3 linked regions of the Astyanax mexicanus genome follow. The protein of the gene in region 3 purifies or fractionates together with the protein of the main gene of each other region. This does not show direct contact. Links are inferred from orthologs where the notes say so. Each region holds a gene or a part of one and is shown on either strand. Other genes may lie near its edges.

Region 1 (7,398 bases), on a different chromosome or scaffold from region 3:
TCCTCCCCAGGTAATAGAGGCCGTCAGACCAACGGCAGAGGACGTACTGCCCGACGGTGAGCTTGCTCTCGAGATCACTGCAAACTGTCTCAAGTTTGGGCAGCAGCCGTTTGGCGTCTAGCTCGTCCGGACCCACAGCCAGGTAGCTGTCCCGGTAGGCTCCCTCCAACATACTTACCTCACACGCCTACAGTCCCTGAGGAGACAGAACCGGCAGAACATTAGACTACAGCTCTGGTCCAGGGGGTCAGCATCATTCACATTTATTCAGATTTAATCAGAATTCTGCTGATACAGCACATTTATCTTCTCTAACACAAATACATCAGCTGTTTTATGTCAGCAGAGATGTTTCTGCAGAAGTTTCTGAGGTGCATATATGAGCTGAAGCATCAGATTTACCTACTCTGCAACTTTTGTTAGCTAACCCATCAGGCCTACATATAAACGGGGTACCAAAAGGAAGTGCTGTTCTCTAAACCACAAATGTAAATTCAGCCACAAACGGTCCACTCTGTCAGTTTTGATTCACTTTGCAAGTAAAGAAAGGGCTGAAAGAAAAAGTACCTGCTCTGTGGAGCTGCAGGGACTGTTGGATGACTCAGAATCCGCCAAGAAATGAGTGAAACCAAAAGCAGCGAAGACGCAGAGTAGTAACGACGTCGGCTAACGTTAACTCTTGGTGGAACAGTGGACAATCACACTAATGTCCTTATGCAGTTATACACTTTACTATAGCATTACTATTACATGTACATTTATGGTATGTAGCTGACACTCTTTTTTAAAGTGGTTTTCCTATTATAGAGTTTGGCCAACGTAGTGTTAGGAGTCTAGCCCAAGGACTAATATATTATTATTATTGGCGTAGCGCAGCATTCAGTCACCCAGACCTGGAATTGAACCCCAATCTCCCACATGGTAGCTCACTGGTGGGCAGTGGTGTTATCCACTGTACCACACCAACCCCAGTTTAATTATTCTTACTATTATTCTTATATATTATATATGTATTATATGACAGTAATCATACAGTAAGCACACCAAACAAAGCACTCCAATAGGAATGCATTGACATTTGTCTGTAAACTTTGTCTCTAAACCAAAACTAATTATATATTATAATAAAATCTGCACAATCAAAGAAATAACAGTATAGCTTTATACTTTATGAACCAATAAAAAAATAAAAATCTACATATATTATTAAATACTAGTAAGCTATTAAGTAGCAGGAAAATGCAGCGTTATACAGGAGTTTCAGTTTAGTTCTCCAGCAGTATTAGCATTAGCGGCTAAACACGCTAAACACTAGCTCTTTTCGAAGTATATCGACCTGTAGCCCTCTGCTAACCCCAGATATTATTCCAACATTTTTCCAAACATTTTGGACACAGGTCTATTAGCCGAATGCATTTGCATTTCAACATTTAGCCTAATTTTCAAACCTTAAGAAATAGCCAAAGATTTGTTAAAACAGCTAAACTGTCTAAATGTTTTAGCATTCCAACATTTAGCCAAATGTTTGGGACTCAAACCGATATGTATTTGCATTTCCCCATTTAACCAAATGTTTCTGGACACAACTCTGTTTGCATTCCAACATTTCTGCAAATGTTTTTGGACTCTAACATTTATCCAAACGTTTTTATTCCCCACTTATACATGCATTCCAACATTTACCCAAACGTTTTACACACAGCTCTATTACCCAACTGTATCTGTATGCATCTACATCATTCAGTCAAACGTTTCTGGACACAGCTCTGCTACTCACATGTATTTACATTCCAACATTTATCCAAACGTTTCTGACCATTGATAATACCACAGAACCACCCTTTGAACCAACTGTTGAACTGCAATCACACTCCCTGCTTGAATCTTTGCACCAGGAGTGTAAAGCATACAGTTATCCAAAATCAGTGTGTAAGACTGGTGGAGGAAAACGTGATGCCAAGATTCATGAAAAAAAACTGTGATTAAAAAACAGGGTTATTTTTTAAAAATAAAATTCTTATCAATATGAACTTCTATGAACATCTTTTTTGTTATTTCAGCCATTTCTCATTTTCTGCAAATAAATGCTCTAAATGATATGATATTTTTGGAATATATTTGGAATTTGGGAGAAATATTGTTTTTAGTTTATAGAATAAAACAACAATGATCGTTTTAGTCAAATATATATCTATAAAAAGCAAAATTAGAGAAACTAATACAGAAATTGAAGATTCTCTTTATTTTTTCCAGAGATGTATTTTTTATGAATAGTGATAAATAGAGGTTAAGGAGTCATCCGGGTCCTGAAAGTGAAAATCCGCTCCGGGATTTCGTTCCAACTGGAACTGGAGCGGCGCTGCCCCGGCAGTTGGAACGAAATCCCGGAGCGGATTTTCACTTTCAGGACCACTGACAAATCTACTAACTTAATAAACTCCAGCTTGCACTTTCTAACTAACTGACATACTAAAAACACACTAAAAAATAAACTTAGCGAGCTAATAAAGCTCAAAAACGCTTAGATAAGTGTGTATTTCCCGTAAAAACGATATTTAGAGCTAAAGCAGCTAAACTGATTTTCCCTCCCTGGTTCAAATCTACCTTTAGCTGTGAATAACTGAATAATAACGCTGGAAAACGCGCTAACACTCATTTTAAACATTAATAAAAGAGAAAACGCGCCTCTAACTACACTAAAGACACAGGTATGGGTTTATCTAAAGTATAAAAGTTAGGATAAACAGCGTTGAATACAGTAGTGAGTTAGTGTAACAGTTACAGTAAGTTATCAGGCTGTAAGTTATTAAACAGTGTGTGTTTAGAGTAAATAAACGAGTTTCTCGCTCTTTTCCTTCATTACCGTGCTGATTTCTCCTCTCCTCAGGAGGGTGGAAGTTGTTCCCGGAGTGTTTAGCCCGCTGTAAGCGCTTCCATTCGCGGAATAAAGTGAGTTTTTCAGTCCTGAGCTGCTCTGCTCCGCTTAAACCGAGCCTCTGCAAGTCGCCATTTTTTCACCTTTTCCCGCGAATCATTTAGGTTTCAAGCTCAGCACCATCAGCAGCAGCAGCAGCCCCTCCCCTTCCACATACTACAGTATATATTTATACACATATATATATATATATATATATATATATATATATATATATATATATATATATATATATATAAATATGCAGCTCTGCGAAAAATCAAGAGAGCACTTCAGTTTCTGAATCAGTTTCTCTGATTTTGCTATTTATAGGTTTCTCCCAAATTCCAAAAAATAAAAATAAAAAAATAAAAAATATATTTTTTATATATTATTCATTATTATTAATTTTGTTCAGAAATCAATACTTAGTGGAATAACCCTGACTTTTTTTTAATGCATCTTGGCATCATGTTCTCCTCCACCAGTCTTACACACTGCTTTTTTTTTGAAGAGCATCATGCTTCCATCTGCTGAGAACTTTTATGGAGATGCGGACTTCATTTTCCAGCAGGACTTGGCACACTGCCCACTCTGTCAAAAGCTTTATAATAAGCTTAATAATAATAAGCAACAATAAAAGATATAATAAACACTTAAAACAGAAAACTCTATGTGTAATACATGAATACAATATTTTAATTTCACATTTGAACAGAATTACTAGCTAATACAAGCTCAAAAATATCCTGCACTTTTAATTTTGGTGTAGGATGTTTGTTGTTAAATAACTTTATTTTCGTTTGCTGTTTTTATACAAAATCAATGTATTGGTAAGTTACTGTCTACAAAATAGACAAACTGTTTTATTTAGCATAAATATCGTCGCTGTCCAATGAAAAACAAGTATTTTCAAAACAGCAACTTTACAAAAGAGAGAAAAATCCTTCAAAACTTTCAATGGAAATCAATGTAAAAAGAGTTTATTTCAGGTCATTTTAAAGTATTGGTATTATTGATTATTATTAATCGACTAATTTGCAAATCATTGTGATGCGTCTGCATACCAAAGTACACGGAAACATCATCCTCACCTATAGCACAGTTAAACCTGAGAGGGCGCTACAGAGGCGAAAATTAACACAATAAAAGTCATTAAAAGTATTTTTAAAGGTTAAGAAATAAAATAAAATAAATTATATATTTTATTACTTTAAAAGAACAGAGTTTAGCTACATATACATACATATAAATATTGTATGTAAGTTCTTTAAAGCCCACAATGTGTAAAATAACGAGTGACTATCTAACTTAACTGAGAAAAAGCAAGATGACGCCTTAACTGAGTTGTGTCAACATGTGTTTTTCATGTTTTTCAGTGTGGAAATAATACATTTTTATTAGACTTTAAATAAAAAGACACAGCTGTTAACTTTTTCAGTGACTTATATCTATGTTATTAACTCATTATAACACATTTTACAGCTTTCAGTGCAGCTCGATCATGTGTTGAGTTTGTAGGGTATCTGCAGAATCCGTCATTACTGAGCAATAAACTCAAATCCTTCCCCTGCTGGGAGACATTTGGGTGACATTACTGAGAATGAGGGCAGAACCAGTCTGCCCTTTCTGCCAGGTCACACTGACCAATCCCATTTAGTCATTTGTGGTCATTTTCTTGTTTACTCAGCAACATCAGGCAATAGGCCAAAGTGGACGTGAAAAATAGCAGGTCTAGTTGTTAAGTCTTCGTGGCCATAAGCTGCAGCGTGTGTCAGGATTCACCTTTTCCTTTCTCTTGAATATTTATCAACTTTCCACATTATTATTCTGCTTTACACACTGTAAAAAAGAAGATTGATGGGTTATATTGTAAATATTACACAAAATAATTGATTTTCTCACTATGAAGTGTAACTTCATGCTGGCTCACAACTGCAGCAAAGTTCACATTACAAGCCACATTGCTCAAAACCAGAGGTGGAAAAGTACTGAATAATTGTAATTAAGTAAAAGTACCTTTACTTTGCTAAAATTGTACTCAAGTAAAAGTAAAAGTACCCATCTAAAAATCTACTTGAGTAAAAGTAAAAAAGTACTCAATTTAAAATTTACTTTGAGTAAAAGTTACATAGTTACTTTTATTTATTTGATGTAAAAAAGTACAAATCATAAATTAAATAATTATTAAATGAAATAATTTGGGCAGTATTTGTTTAGACCATCCCATAAAACATATTCAAGAACAAGTGGCACAGGTTTCTATGATCCATTTTTTTTACTGTTAAAAAGTTAAAAGGTTATGGTCATATAGGTGACTATAAACTGTATTTTTATAGTTGTACAGGTAATTATTATTTTTTAACTTGCCATTCATATGCTTTAACTGCTATTTTACACGTTTTTTTTTAACATCCAAGCAGAATTTTTAATGGTTCTAATAAAAACATAAGGAATTATTATGAAAAACTTTGGTCGGTGCATGCGCAGTGCCGTAAAGAAGCACATATGGATGGGTAGCATAACTCGACAGAACACCGGTTCCCCCGAGTCACGCACACAGACCCCAGCTGATTTACACAGCATCTCTCCCGCTAACCAAAATAAACACTGCATGGAGACGTTTAGCTGCGCTACCATGGAGAACAAAACTCTTTAAAAAATTTTTTTTTAATTCAGACGATTTGTTTTTTTCCCAGCTTTTTATTATTTACTCAGTAATGGGGAATTTTCCAATGTAGCAAAATAAATTACTTGTGTCAAAATGTACTTGAGTAAAAGTAAAATTACCTATTTTCAAAACTATAACAAAAAATTACAAATTACTCATAAAATCTACTCAATTACAGTAATGTGAGTAAATCTAATTAGTTACTTTCCACCTCTGCTCAAAACTGATTTTTTTGCTCAGATTGGATTTATCTATCTTGTTGGTTCACATTTACAAATGTAAGTGATCTGTTTCTGTGTGTAATGTGAACGAAACATTGATACGCAGGGCCGTGCAGAGACCTTTGGAGGGGCAGGTGCTGAAAGTCAAAAGGGGGCACATGGAGCACGAATTTATAACACTATACAGAAACATACCTTTTAATATATGTACAAAGTTAATTTGTGGTCTTTCTGTAGTGTTACTGTAAACTACAAATGAACAGAAGTCACGTTAGAGGAGTGTTTCATATATGAAAGTAACTAAAATCTTATTTTATTTTTTTTTTATTAATAATTATATTTTTTCTATATTCTTAAGGATTTTATTTTTCTTAGCTACTGCAGACAAGGGAGCCTGAGAAACATATGTTTCATATGCAGCATCATAAACAACTCAGAGAGACCTAAAGTATTTCACAAACAAGAACAAGAAAAAGTGGATTTTAGCAGAAGGAGATCTTTAAGTAAAAATAAAACAATACTTAGTACACCTCTCTTTATTACAAAGTATTTTTCAGGCATTTTTCTGGAAACAAGTCCTACTTTTCACCAAATAAAGGGGGTCTTGGGTCTTTGTTTCTCTTTATGGCACATTTTGCATTATTTAATTTAAATTGCATTGAAAAAACTAGGCCAGAGTGAGTCACAGACTAATATGAGGAAAAATTCAACACAGGTATTGTACAACTAACACGTTGAAAGAAGTGTTGAATGGAAAACCAACATATTAGAGAAAACTGTTAATTAAAAGTCCTCTGCTCCACAATTCAATGCTGGAGGCTTTATGTTATAGAGACAATGTGAGTAGGAGTTCTTGGAACGATCCAATCAGTGCCTGTTTACAGATAAAGTCCGCTTTGTGGAGATCTGCGAAAGCGCAGGAGCCAAACCAAGCTGTAATATTATTTTTTTTTTGTGCATTATTGAGTCAAATGCTGCACTGTAAAAAAATATTCATTGGCTCAACTTAACTTAGTCAAGTTATTCATTTAGTCATTTAGCTTTGACTCAGTTAAGTTGTAAATATATACAATTTTAAGTTTATTTAACTTAACTTAAGTTTCATTCACACAACAACAGTTCTGTAAACTCAACTGTTTTTTTCTTCAAGTATTTTGGGCTTAAAAAATGTAGATAAATAAACTATTATACAGCCTAAAACACCGAGGCCTGGCAATCAACACTTACTTTACTGCATTACTAATGCACAACTAGGATAAGGCAGCTTTGAGCAACAGACAACACAAAGATGGTAAGTAAGGAAAAGGCCACACCCAATATGCAAATATATGGAGGAGCCAGGAGCCTATGGGAAGGCTGTATAAAACAACACTGTAAAAAAGAGCATTGAAACGTTTAATATACTAAAAGTTCAAAAGTGGTTCAATAAGCATTTTTAAGTTTTCAGGTTTAAGTTCTCTAAAATCATTTTATTGATTTGTATTAAAATATTATAATATTACTGTAGTTCTCCTGTTTAAAACACAAAATCACATTTTAGAGCGTGCCATTTATTCATCAGATTTTATTTGTTATTGAAAATGTGTTGAAAA
Region 2 (7,294 bases), on a different chromosome or scaffold from region 3:
CATCCAGGCCCGTGGAAACAGACCCCTCGCCATAGCAGAAATGGGTCATTTCAGGGACTGTGGAGCTGGAAACAGGTATATAAAGAAGGAAAAAGGAGATATTAGATATAAATGATGATTAAACCAGTGTGCAAGGCATATACATTGATTTTGAGCAGGTTCAAGCGTTGCTGTTTTTGGAATTTTCCGTTCCACCTTAAATGGAGCGGCTGCTACATTCAGGCGCACGCAGGTTGCCTGCGTGCGCCTGAATGTAGCAGCCGCTCCATTTAAGGTGGAACGGAAAATTCCAAAAACAGCCACATTGCATGGTTTATCTCCTTCGCTGCATACTCACCACTAATCCACGACACAGATACACCTTTCCCTTAATCCATCCTATCGTTCAAATGCTGATTTCTGCATATATATCCTTAATCTAATCCAAAAATCTATATTTTTATATATATTCATGTCACTTTCAGTCACTACAGTCCCATAACCACACCGTCAGTTCACTGCTGCTATATCCAATGAAATCTCTTAAAGGTGCAGAACGCACTTTTGTGTGGGCCGACATATAATATATAAAAAATATAATATAATATAATATAATATAATATAATAATAATAATAATGAACGTATAAAAGTACATAATGGTTTCTGCTGCCCTCTAATGACCGTACACGCGAATAAAACTGTAGTCAAAACGATTAAAAACTCAATTTAGTGTGAATACAACAAATTAAATATATATATATAATATAATAATATGTAAAATATGTAAAATAATAAATAAATGAATGTATTAAAAAATGTAATTGTACAATACAATAATGTAATATACAATAATATAGTATTTTTAAAAAACTAAAATTATTTATATTATATTATTGTACAAAAAAAATGTCATGGCTTTTAAAAGAACACGTTTACGTGATTACTTAAATAATAAACAAGACAATACTCATAATTATAAATTATTAGACTTATTTCTATAATACAATTTAAGCTTTGTCCTAATTTTAAAATATTTAAATGTTTAATAAAAAAATGTAAAATTTTTAGCCTCTAAAAACATTAATTTGTCCAAAAAAGTATGGAGAAATTAAATTTCCCCAAAGCTAAAATATATATGTTAAATGAATGAACTTCTGTTGAATTGTTTTATATCAACTTTCAAGCTACAAGTTACAAGTTAATTATTTGTTGCAAAAGTATTTATATGTTTAATATATATATATATATATATATATATATATATATATATATATATATATATATATATATATATAAACTCAATGTAGTATGACTACAGCCAATTAACTGATTTAAACGTAAATGTTATTTTTTAAAACAAAAAATAATAGTATTATTGTAAAAAAAAAAACATTGGTTTAGCTTTAAAAAACATTATATTTTAAAAAAAATATTAATAGTTGTATGAAGTTGCCTTTTATTTTATTAAATCCAATGTACACAACACAACAAAATTAAACAAAAAGTAAAATAATATTAAACTACAAATCCCAGAGAGATGTCACAGCGTGACAGCTTTTGTAGTCTTTTTTGTCATTTTTATTTTTATATATGTTTAATCTAATCTTTGTGTCTAAATTAGTACTTTATTACTTATTAAGAACCTCTAATGAACTGTATATATCGTGGAAAACTTTGCCGTACTTTTATTTCAGAATTTTAATTATAATTATTTGTTGCAAAACCGTTTATATATTTTAAATATATATATATATATATATATATATATATATATATATATATATATATATATATATATATATATATATATATATATATATACTGGCTCTTTGTGGCTGTTTATTAGCCTCTAAAAAAACATTAATATAAAAAGAATCACATAATTAATTTTCTTTTTTTTCTATTCTACATTTTCACAACGCAAATCCTAAAAAAAAAAGTCAAATGCAATTAAACTACAAGTCCCAGAGGGCAGTGGAGCCGCCGCTACGTGAAGCGCACGGCAGTGACGTCAACATGCGACAGCTTTTGTAGTCCGTTTCAGGTAAACATTCGTAGAAACTGCATTTCTGTGTTTTTTATTGTTAGATGTTCGTTCAGAACGAATTTCCGTAAATGGCGTATTTCCTCTGGATCGTTTTTTCTATTTTATACTAGATTTGTATTTTAATCTTCAGTAAAATTAAGCGTAAATTAATATTAAATAGAAAAAGTAAGGCATTAAATCAAATAATATCATATAAAAAATATTATATCATTGTCTAACTAGACGCATTCAAGCTTCAACATTCAAGAATGAACATAAATGAGAATTAACAAATTAAAGTAACCCGTTAGATTAAATTGTTATATGGTTGTATATATTTTAATCTTCAATTAGTAAAAGCTCCGCCCACAAAAATAAACTAGTAAATACAGATTTAAAAAATAGGAGAGACATGCAAGAGGCCAATTAACATAACAATACATCTTTAAAATTTAAGTACAATATTAAATGATTGTAAATTGTATATGATTCTATTATTCTATAATATTATATACATATGAATCTATAATATTATATATTATAAATGTAATTACTGTATATATGTTCTAATCAGTTATTCAAAAAGCAGCTAGTCTCACACAATTCACTGCAACTTGAAACATTAAATAATAAACATGAATGCAGTTTACTGAAACTGCTTAAAAAACGTGTGTGTAAATAAATAAATAAATAAATAAATAAATAAATAAAACACCTCTTTCAAATTCAAATTTTGTGAGGGAAGAGAATGGGCGGACTGAGCGGGTTTACTGGGAGAGCGCCCACTGCCCGCTCAGCCTGTAATACCAGTACCCACCGCCCACCGCCAGAGGGAGCCCGAGAGAGAGAGCGCAATGAATGGGGTAAATGGAGCTAATCTGCTAAAACCCTAATTAAAAAATACCACTGTAACTATCTATTTATATCTCTCTCTCTCTCTCTCTTTACCTCTATCTCTCGTTCTCTAGCTGTGTTCGTTTCTCTGTCTGTCTCTTTCTCCCTTTCTACCTGTCTGTCTGTCTCTCTTTGTCTCTCTCTCTTTCTCTATATAGATGTCTGTCTGTCTCTTTCTCTAGTTATCTGTTTCTTTTTCCAGCAGATTGTCTGTCTATCTCTCTCTATCCCTCTCTGGCTGTCTTTCTGTTTCTGTCTGTTTCTCTATCTTTCTGTATGTCTGTCTCTTTCTCTCACTCTCTAGCTGTCGGTTTGTCTCTCTATGTCTGTCTGTTTCTCTTTCTTTCTAGCTGTCTGTCTCTCTTTCTAGTTGTCTGTCTCTCTAACTTTTGTTTCTAGCTGTTTTTCTCTCTCTCTTGCTGTGTCTGTCTGTTTCTTCTTTCTTTCTAGCTGTCTGTATCTCTCTTTCTTTCTAACTGTCTGTCTCTTTCTAGCTGCCTGTCTGTCTCTTTCTTTCTAACTGTCTGCCTCTCTCTTTCTTTCTAGTTGTTTGCCTCTATCTCTACCTGTCTGTGTGTTTCTCTCTCTCTCTTTCTAGCTGTCTGCCTTGCTTTCTTTCTAACTGTCTTCCTGTCTTTACCTGTCTTTGTGTTTCTCTCTCTCTCTATCTAGCTGTCTGTGTTTCCCTCTCTCTTTCTAGCTGTCTGCCTTTCTCTCTCTCTACCTGTCTTTGTGTTTCTCTCTGTATTTACCTGTCTTTTTGTTTCTCTCTTTCTACCTGTCTGTGTTTCTCTCTCTCTCTTTCTAGCTATCTGCCTCTCTCTCTCTACCTGTCTTTGTGTTTCTCTCTCTCTCTCTACCTGTCTTTGTGTTTCTCTCTCTCTCTCTACCTGTCTTTGTGTTTCTTTCTCTCTCTCTACCTGTCTTTGTGTTTCTTTCTCTCTCTAGCTGTCTGTGTTTCTCTCTCTCTCTACCTGTCTTTGTGTTTCTCTCTCTCTCTCTACCTGTCTTTGTGTTTCTTTCTCTTTTACTAGCTGTCTGTGTTTCTCTTTTTTTCTAGCTGTCTGCCTCGCTCTTTCTTTGGCAGACATTATTTTTTTTCTCTTTTACTAGCTGTCTGTCTCTTTCTTTCTAGCTATCTGTCTCTCTCTCTGCCTGTCTGCCTCTATCTGAACCCGGTAATATTGGGCTCTGGCTCGGCAGCGCCCCCTGGTGTGCGGTAAAGGCGGTGGCGGCGGTAGTGGGAGGTCTCGGCGGCTCAGGCTCTGTGGTAAAGCAGCTCCGCTCAGCGGGAATCCAACATGGCGAGCGCGGCGCTGCGGGGAGATCAGTCCGCCGCTCTCTGTTAGAAACCGGGGGAAATGCGGGGATAGCTGCGGGCCGCGCGCTCCGTGCTGAAGCCGAGCTTCGTGTTTTTCTGTGTGAGGTGCAGTTTAACCGCGGGAAGGGCCCGAATGAGGTGAGACAGCTGATAAACCCGCTATAAAACTGAACAATACACCAACAACAATAACTACTGCTCCCCCTGCTAACTAAAACACTGCTAATCCGCTTCACACTGCAACAATCCGGATTAAAATCCGCTTTCACACCGACACAGAACCGGAGCAGGCTTTTATACCGCTTCTCTTTATTACCGGCGATCCGAATTCAGCAAATATTCACCTTTATTATACCTTTACTCTTCAGATAATTAACAGTTACTGTAGGAGTGATTTACCTGATGCAGGGAGTAGCTTCTCTCCTATTAAACAACACTGTGCAAATACCCATCCTGTTTCAGAAGAGTCCAATTATCTATCTATCTATCTATCTATCTATCTATCTATCTATCTATCTATCTATCTATCTATCTATCTATCTATCTACTTAGTTATCTGTCTATCTGCATGAGTGTCTCTCTCTCTTAATAACTGTCTGTCTCTAGCTACACATTTTTATATCGTCTTAGAAGCTTATAGGTGTTTATAGTTCTATCTATCTATCTATCAAGATGTCTGTCTCTCTTTTTTTTATTGAACACATGTTAACATTCACAGTAAGGGGGGGGAGTATGTGAATGTTAACATGTTGTGTTCAGTAAAAACATGCAAATATAATTATGTGTGTGGTATTAGTTTAAGCAAACTGTGTTTGTCTATTGTTGTGATTTCTGGGCACATAACGTTGCTGAACCTAGACCTGAAGTATTGGTTTGAAATATTGATGAAATTAGCTGTAAAAATCAGGGATAATGGGTTTAGAAACACAAAAAGGTGGTTCTAATGTTATGATTGGTTGTTGTATTTTTTTAATTGTATGTTTTTTTCTTTGGCCTGCAGCTCTGCTGTACACACTTTCACCGAAACATCGTTTTCTGTTTTCTTCTTGTTTTAAAACAGAGACTCAACGGTGGCACACAGTCTGGGCTCCCATCAGAAATCTCCTTCCCAGCGCCGAGACCCGTCCCCGCCGTCGCTGTCCAGACTCTCTCTCGGAGATGGGCAGAGCGACGCCGACAGACTCGCCAGCAAGTTCGAGGAGGGGCAGGACGTTTTAGCTCGGTGGTCCGATGGCCTGTTTTACCTGGCGACAATCGCAAAGGTGAGCACAGATTAGGGGCGGGACCGAGCATCTGTATTGTGATTAGTGCAGGACTGTATGACCAAAATGTACAGTATATTTCGCACTATAAGGGTGCACCAGATTATAAGGCCCACTTTCAATAAACAACTATTTTCTAGCGGTTAACGGCTAAAGCCACACGATAACGCTACACTGAGGAACCCTGAGTGTTCCAGTAGTCCAGGGTGATATTAGGCAGCGGTTCGTGCTACGTAGCTTGTTTTAACACAGTCAGCATGCAGACCAAAGTCCAATAATACTCACCTCTGAGCAGGGAAAGAGCTAGCACTTAGCTTAGTAACGCTAATGCTGCTCCAGCAGTGCTAGCTAGGATTAGCAGCAGGCTACAGGCCGGTAATACTCACCTCTGAATGGGAAAATAGCTGTTAGCAGCTAATGCTAATGCTACTTTAGCCCTGGTACTGGAGAACAAAACTGAAACTCCTTCATAACTCTGTACTTCAGTGTTCATAGTGGCTTTATTGCTCATTAATACCTGACTGATATAATTTATACATAAGGAGCACCGGATTATAAGAAGCACTGATGATTTTGGGGAGAATTAAAGGATTTTAAGTGTACCTTATAGGGCGAATGATTATTATTATTTATTTATAGTTTTTTGCATGACTGGGCTTAAATAACTTTACTATATTTTATTCTGTGTTTTACAAAGTTGTTTTTCTTTTTCTTTTACACAGATAGACAAACAGAAGCATCGCTGTTTCGTGGTTTTTGAAGATCAGTCCAAATCGTGGGTTCTTTGGAAGGATATTCAAACAGGTAATACATTCACCTTTTCCCTGTGATCTACCTGCATCATTCAGTTTCAATATATATATATATATATATATACAGCTCTGGTAAAAATGAGGAGAGCACTTCTTCAGTTTCTGAATCAGTTTCTCTGGTTTTGCTATTTATAGGTTTATGTTTGAGTAAAATGAACAGTGTTGTTTTATTCTATAAACTACAGACAACATTTCTCCCAAATTACAAATAAAAATATTGTTATTTAGAGCATTTATTTACAGAAAATGAGAAATGGCTGAAATAACAAAAATGCAGAGATGCAGAGATTTCAGACCTCAAATAATGCAAAGAAAACAATTTTATATTTAGATTAAACTTACCATTTTACTGGTGCTGCTGTGTTTCAGGGGACAGTGGAGAGGAGATGCTTTGCACCATTTGCCAGAATGAAACCTCAGAACCGCCCAATGAAATGGTCATCTGTGACAAGTGTGGACAAGGTAATGTAGAGTTAAAACTCTACACTGTCTGTTTACACTTCTTTGCACCTTTTACTCAGACTATATTATACTTACATTTAAGCTATCTTTTGTCTTTATATATATATATATATATATATATATATAAGCAAAAGTATTGGCACAGACCCTTGTTGTATTGTAAATATAGTGTCTCCCGTTCTTTTATATTTACGGATGAGGATGAGAGTAACGTAATTTCAATTCTCTGTATGTCCTGTACATATGCAGTACTGACAATAAAAACTACTTGACTCGACTTATCTGATCACTAATTGCAGGTGTATAGGCCATAAGGTGGTCAAAAAGAGCTTAAAAAAATGATTTTGTTTCCTTCGTTTGGAAAACAGTTGAGTGTAAAAATTCAAAGTTGTGGCGCCGAGTGGTCCAGCAGTCTAAAGCGCTGCCACTATGAGCGAGCAAAATTGGCCCTGCTCCCTCCGGGTGGGTAGATGGCGCTCTCTCCCCACATCACTCCTAGGGTGGTGTGGATCAGCACAACGCTGCATCTGTGAGCTG
Region 3 (7,486 bases):
GCCTTTGAAAAAAGAACATCTCTGCACAAATAAAAAGTTTAGTTGTGATAATATAATGATGATCTATGTAAGTGATTACAATATTATAGTAAAAGAATATGTTTATTGAGAACGACTCAAAAATCTTAAAAAAAAGGCTGTAGTACCCTGTTGGGTCGCCACTTTGAATACAAGTTGAAAATCATTTGGCATCATGTAGCACTTTTGCCCACATATGTTGTAGCTGGATGTGATAAATCTGGGGACCGGGCAGACCAAGGATGCAATCTTGTGGAGACATTCCTGTAAAAGCTGTGCTGTGTGAGGGTGAGCATTATCCTGCTGAAAAATGCCAGAAAAATACCCTGCCATGAGAAGAAACACATGTGGCTACAGGATATCCTTACAGCTGAGCTGTAAGAGTCCCTCATATCACTACTAGGGGTGACCAACTATTGCATTTGATGGCTCCCTAGGTCATCACACCAGCAGTTGTGGCAGTGGGTCACTCCACAGCAAAGGCAGGTCTCAAGAAGAATCTGGATTACAGGCGATTCAGTTCCAGTCTGTAGAAATCTGTGTTTTTGTTTACGACAGCACTGCAAACAAAGGTGACAGCTGGCAATTTGTTGAAACAACAACACTGCCGAGACCAGCTGCTGTGTTTGTTTGAATCACAGCTTTTAGCACTGTGGCTAACCTGCAATCCTAGGCTTTAAAACACAGGTTTAAAATAACCTACACGTGATATTTGCTACGTGATATTGTAGCAAATAGCAATATTTAATCTAACCCTTCACAACTAAATATCCAGACCTGTCTGCACCAAGGTTTCTGTCTTTGTTACATTATTACATGATAAAGCGTTTGTTCACAGGTGTTGTAATAAGCCTTAAATTAAAGCAGCTTCACACCTCACAGATATACGCGCTGGAGCACAGAATCTTCTCCAATCAGAGGACACAACGTGCTCACGTGGTTGATTGGTGCGCATTTTGGTGCATTTATGTTTATGCCTGTGTGAAACCAAACCAAACTAAAGGGAGAAAACATAAAATTGATTCGGACCAGAGAAACGGACTACAGGTGTGAAAACACCCTTAGTGAAACTAAGCATCCGTCATAGAACAGAACAGCTCTTTTCTGGGACAACACATTGTTCACAAAACAAATGTTCTCATGGTTTATGGCCCCTTTCACAACTGCTACTTTGACCCAGACCAAACTGAAATCAACCCAGCTGGCACACAACCGAACTTCAACGTTGAAATGTGGTTGAAATATGACTAAAGTAATGTATGTTGTTGTTTCACCGTTTAAACAACGCTTTTTCGCTATTGAAATTTTAATGTTGAATCAACATAATGTACTCAACGTTCTGCCTTTTGAATCAGCATTTTACATTTCATCACCATATAATTTATAAAAATGGTGGGATGGACGAATGAAACAGTGTTTTACTTCTATTTGCAGTAACTGCTTTTACATTAACATCATGTTCATGTTCTAATAGTTTTACGGTTTTAGTGTTTTTGAGATCAAATGTTGAATCAAATTGGTAGTGGTGGGTAACTTTCTTTATACTCAGCTTTACTACAGTGATGTAAGTTTATTGTTAACACTTTGTTAACCATACGATTGTCTCATTTTAGTGAGCTATGGTTTATTAGTGGTTGAACATATGACGTTGACACAACGTTGCTATATTACCGTTGATTTCCTTTTCAAAATCAACAGTTGATTCAACGTTGATTCAACCACAACATCTACCTTGATCAACGTTGATTCAACGTTTATACAACGTTGAAATGCCAGCTGGGAAGGTAGGTGTGAATGCCCCATTAAAATAACCTACAGAAACAAAACACATATCATGCCAGATGTCAACAAATATATAGATAAGAAGTCAATTTTGGAAAAAAATGCTGAAAAACAGAACTAATAAGAACATAAAAATGTTTCAAAGACAGAGGATAGCAGTAGATTCACACTGATGATGCTCTGGAGTGAATTTCTCCAGATGTGATAAGATCTCATACACAGCAGCTTCACACACAGACTCACAAAATACATGACTCAAACTTTGTCATTGAGGAGCATTACTCCCGCGCGCCTGCTCTGCTCGCTCCGGCGCCTCCTGCTCGCAGCAAAACAGAACTGCAGCTCGCCCTGTTTAAAGGGCTTTAAAGCCCTTCCTGGAAAAAACAGTCACTCACTTGCGCGCGCGGTCAGCATTATTAGGGTAGTCACCTAAATTTAACACCAACATTCCACATCCGGTGGCTGAATACGGGGGAAAACAGCGAGCTTCAGTGTGAGTGAGCAGTCTGACGGTGGTGTGAGCGCGCGTGCACGCGTGTAGCAGGAGAAAAACACATGCAACCTCTCGTCTCGAGACTGGAAGTGGGCGTGACTCCTTCCCCTCCTACTCCTCGCGACTAAAAAGTGCGCAGTGCACTTTCATAACAGCCCCCAAATCCTCTCGAATCCTCCTGAAAATTAGCAACAAAGATCTGCTTTTGCAGAGAACCAAAAACCCAAAAGCACGCGTGCACGAGAGATCGTGCGTGCGGAGGAAAAAAGAGAGGGGGTGGCGGGTTGACGGGCAACACCACGCACGAGCCGCTTGCGTCGAAGAATATCACTTCTTCTGTACGATGGCCACCTAATTACTGCTACAGCACAAACACGCACATACATATGCACACGCATGCATGCACGCGCCACTTCGCGGCGTGTATGTAGCGTGCTAGTTTTAGCGTCATGCGAGGCAGCGCGCACGCGGAACGCTGCTATAAACGCACGTTGCAGGGGATTTTGCTGCTGTGAAACGCACGCACGCACACACACACACCACACACGAACGCGCGCGTTCACACGCAGGCACACATTTACACATAGTGCACACAGTTTCGGAATACCTTCAGACTCGCGTGTCCCCGCGTTTCGGTCTCCACACGCTGAAGGGCTCGAGCTCCAGACCCCTGTAGCGTCCTCGAGGACCAGCCCGCAGCCCCGCGTCACCCGTAGCGCGCGGGCAGCACCGCAGCGGCCCAGACTTGAGCTCAGCTGCCTTCCAGTTTTTAGGAGCTGCGCACTCGGGGCTGGTCGGAGTGTGACGTCTTTATTAGGAGCGACTGCACGGAGCGGACACACACACACACTACACACACACACCGAGCAGCAGCAAACACGAAACATGACTCATCACATCATTCAAACAATTATACACAGTAATAATAATAATAATAATAATAGTGTAATAAAATTGTAATAATATTATGTTTATCATTAATATCACTAATATAATAGATATAATGCAGATGTATTACTGTTGCTAGAGTGCTGATATGTACATTACTGTGTATTGGACACATTTATAATAGTACAATAATGGTAGTTTGTAATGTTATTAGCATTGCCATCAATAATATGCGTAGTATTGCTGGTATGTATACTGCTATGTACTATTTATCTATTTAATATTGATTAATAATTATTATTATTATTATTAGTAGTAGTAGTAGTAGTAGTAGTAGTAGTAGTAGTAGCAGTAGTAGGAGTAATAGTGCTAGTAGTAATAATGTTAGTTATAAAATAAAGCATTCTATTATATAGAATACGTATTCTATTCTATCATGTCATCAACAACAACAATGCTATAGTGTTATTATTATAATTATATATATATTATTATTGTATTATGTAATTTTGTCATTAGGCTCATGTTGTAATTATAGAGGAACAGAACACACGATGGGCCGGTGTGAGTAACGCCCACACAAACTCCGCAGATCTGTGTGGAGGTGATGCTGACTGTATGTATGTATTTATGTATGTATTTATATATTTATTTTGTTATTTTCTAACTGTACTCCACAAGCCCCGCCCTCTTGTGCTGGGATTGGTTAGTAGTGACCAGCCCCCTGTGCTGGGATTTGTTAGTGAGCGGTCCTCTGTTCCAGAGCTCTGGAGGGGCGGGGCCTGTCAGAGGACGAGTGGGAAAAACAACGCTGGAGTCAAACCACGCTGCCGCCCGGACACGTGACTCAGACAGAGAAGCGCAGCGCCTCCCAGCGGAGAGCAGCGGTACAGTCCATTACATAAAACACCCATACAGAACCTGGAGGGCTATAATAATAATACATATAAATAATAATAATATCATTAATAATAATATTCAGGCGCCGCATATTCTCAAGTGTATTTATTTGTTTGTTATTTCTTTTACATAAATTATTTGTAAATAAAAAATATGATTTATAAGAATATTTTAATATCAGTGTCATGTGTAAAAAATAAATAGCCTTTTTAATTTACTGTTATTAGCAAATCAAACAAACAAATAACTAAAATTAATGGCATGAAAAAATAAAAATCAGTCTAAACAAGGTGCTGCATATTCTTAAGTTTATTTATTTATTGCATTTTATATGCATTATTTATGTTATTATTAAATATTCATTATAAAAACAACAATAATAACAATTAAAAAAAACTAATGCATAATGTTTAAACATCAAAACCATTTAAACAATCAACTACTTAATTATTATTATTATTGTTATTATCTAATTTTTATTATTTTCTAGTCACTGAAAAATAACTTGCTTTCACATAACGTTTTTTCTTTTAAGCTGCATTGACTAAATGATCCCACTAGATGGCGGCATAGAGCCAGTTTTCACAGTAATGTGTTGTTATTAGTGAAAAGTGTAGTGAAAAAAGTGCACTGAAGTGCTCTTTAGCTAAAATGTATTTCACAGTCTTGGAAAGATGTATGTCAATTATTCAAGCAGGCATCTATTGAGTAAAGATAACTTGTGCTGTGCATATTTATGAATTAGTTAATATTTTTTTTAAACCCACTGTGCTTTATGCACTCTCCGAATAAGGCTATTAAACTGTCACTGGGGTAATACTCTAAAATGACTTTAACGTAAACACCTGTACCCTAAGGACCTTTGAGGGTATATTTGCATTGTTTGTACCCAGTGAAACAAATGTATCCATACAAGAAAGTGTCTTTTAATAATATATTCATAACAAGAAAAAACTAAGTAAAAAGTGTCTTAAAATAAATAGAGACATGCAATAAGCAGGTGTTTTGAATTACCTAATTATCCTCTGGAGGTAACAGGGCCAGACAGAGAAAAAAACGTATCATTTAGCCAGTACAACGTGTGTGTTTCTAGGCCTATACAAATGTTATCAATTAGTGTTTGTTAAATAATATATTACAGGAAATAAGTAGAAATATGTAGGCTACATTAATATATATGTAAAAAATAATAACATTAATTGCCATTATGAAAAAAACATTAAGAGAATAAAACCACGACTGGGATTCGAACTAGGCTTCCATCCGATGTTCTGTCGAGTTTTGCTACCCTGTCAAAGCGTACTACCCTAGTGCATATTTAAATTTTAAATATAAAATTGCTAGAAAAAGCCCCATATTTAAACATGCTTTAGGTAGAATATTTGGACAGCCTGAATCAAAATATCAGGAGACAGTTTAGGGTTATTAGGGGTGATTATAACCCTTATTTTTTTATTATTGCTCACTTATTATTACTTTCATTATTATTAGCTGTCATTTATTTGTAATACTCAGAAATAATGTCAAGGGGTTTCTGGTTGTTTAATGCACCAAAAAAAAAATTACTATAAAAAAAACAATAAATAAATAAAAAATGTTTCCACGCATGGGCACTGGTGTTAAGAAGCACATCTCTATGGGTTGCACAATTCGACAGAACGCAGAGTGCTGCACGGTTGTAGGCGCACTGCTGAACCACTGAGTAACACACATTTCTCAGGTCTCATTTTAATAAGACTCATTCAGAATGGTGATTATTTAATAAAAAAAAATATTGCAATAGCAAATATGTGTATGTTTTTTTAAGTAACAATGTCTGTTACAATTAATAATTAAGCTATATAATATATAGCAATTATTGTGTAAATTTTACTTGCAGTTCATTGTAATTTTATTAATAGTATTGTTGTCCATTATGTTGTGGTGATAATTACAATATAAATAGCCTAAACATAAGTAACATATTTTTGGCAAAATATTTTAAAGATTGTGAGTTTTGCACGTTTTCTGCTGGGAAAGTCTGGCCGAACACATCTGGAAACACCTTAGTTAAGACCACGGTGGTTCAAACCAACATAGTTCAGACTTCTGTGGTACCAACAAAGTACGATGGTTTCGGGAAACGGTCGTACTTCAGATGTTAGTTAGTTTAACGATGCATCGTACCACGTTAGTTCAATTCTAGGCTCCGTCGTTGTACGGGAAACGCACCCCAGGTTGAGACTTCAGTCAGGCTCAGTCTCTAGTCTTTGGGATGCTGATGTCATTATGATTAACGAATAAACAATATAGAGCCCCCTCCCTAAAACTGTCCTAAAGGAACAGAGCTCTTTTTGTTTGAATCTTAAATGCAGTAATAACATATACATCCGAGTATCCAACTGATAGCCAAGACAGCCATATTTACCATACCTGTACACATACAGTAGATGAGACACACAGGTAAACCATTTAGTGAACACACGTGCATATGCACTAGTGATTACACACAGTGTTATATTAAGGTTGTGCCTGGAGCAGAGAGGGTCAGGTGTCTTGTTTAAGGGCCCAATACTGCAAAGGGGTGCCAGTTGCTTGTTGTAAATTTTCCAAAATAAATATAATGTTTAACCTTTACATTTTTCTCAGTCCTGTTACCAAAACTCATGTGACATTTAAAAAGCATGTTTAAAAGTCCACAAATTCCTTAGATTTTCTCTCAAGAAAGTCTTTATATTAAAGACATGGTTGACTGCATGTTCAAATAAATTATATTTCTGACAAAAATCACTATATTTGCATGCATATTATAATATGCAAACAATTTTTATCTTTTTAGGAAGACCCAAACCTGAATTTGATTAAAATAATTATCATGCAAATTATTAAACAAATGGATAAATCATGAAGCAAACAGAAATGGAAAAAGTGGTTTATTAATACTCACAATAATAAATCAATAAACCAGGGTACAATACTCAATCCTGTTACGTAAACTCACTCCTGTTACTGGCACTCATTCTTGTTACATTTTATGTTTTGAGTAACAGGACTGAAAGTAACAGGAATAAGTTTTTAGCACTGAATTAGCAAAAATATGAAAAAAAGCAAAATGGTGGATATGCCAAGAGCATTAGGATTTGTTATTTAAAAATAAACAAATAATATCTAAAAATTAATTTAGGTAACAGGAATGAGTGTTGAGATTGACCTCCTCAGTCATAGTAACAACGAGATCAAATATACAGAAAAATAAATGAGGGAGCTTAATTTTGGTCTTTCCATGATGAAGAACCTGTCACGTGGTCCCTGTCTGGTGTTTCTGTGTTTATTTACCTTGAGTGTGTCTCCCACGTGACCCGTGTTCCTCAGTGTTTCTTGCCCTCACCTGTGTTCATTTGTAACTCCGCCCCTTAGCCCCAGGTG

The links.
Region 1: the proteins of ezh1 (region 3) and phf19 purify together in Homo sapiens (affinity purification with mass spectrometry; 4 studies listed by BioGRID and IntAct, counting the BioPlex papers as one, with this or other methods). This does not show direct contact. The link is inferred for Astyanax mexicanus from reciprocal best matches to the Homo sapiens genes EZH1 and PHF19.
Region 2: the proteins of ezh1 (region 3) and mtf2 purify together in Homo sapiens (affinity purification with mass spectrometry; 3 studies listed by BioGRID and IntAct, with this or other methods). This does not show direct contact. The link is inferred for Astyanax mexicanus from reciprocal best matches to the Homo sapiens genes EZH1 and MTF2.

What each region holds. Positions count from the first base shown.
Region 1 is NC_064419.1:1,743,915-1,751,312, forward strand, and holds the start of phf19 (PHD finger protein 19), read right to left. Parts: upstream 3,019-7,398; 5' UTR 2,864-3,018; intron 197-2,863; 5' UTR 173-196; coding exon 1-172.
Region 2 is NC_064411.1:55,195,583-55,202,876, forward strand, and holds the start of mtf2 (metal-response element-binding transcription factor 2), read left to right. Parts: upstream 1-4,190; 5' UTR 4,191-4,354; coding exon 4,355-4,359; intron 4,360-5,281; coding exon 5,282-5,483; intron 5,484-6,205; coding exon 6,206-6,287; intron 6,288-6,664; coding exon 6,665-6,757; intron 6,758-7,294. Other genes in the region: dipk1aa (divergent protein kinase domain 1A), read right to left, coding at 1-33. UniProt on the Homo sapiens protein: Polycomb group (PcG) protein that specifically binds histone H3 trimethylated at 'Lys-36' (H3K36me3) and recruits the PRC2 complex, thus enhancing PRC2 H3K27me3 methylation activity.
Region 3 is NC_064426.1:22,692,820-22,700,305, reverse strand, and holds the start of ezh1 (histone-lysine N-methyltransferase EZH1), read right to left. Parts: upstream 3,087-7,486; 5' UTR 2,901-3,086; intron 1-2,900.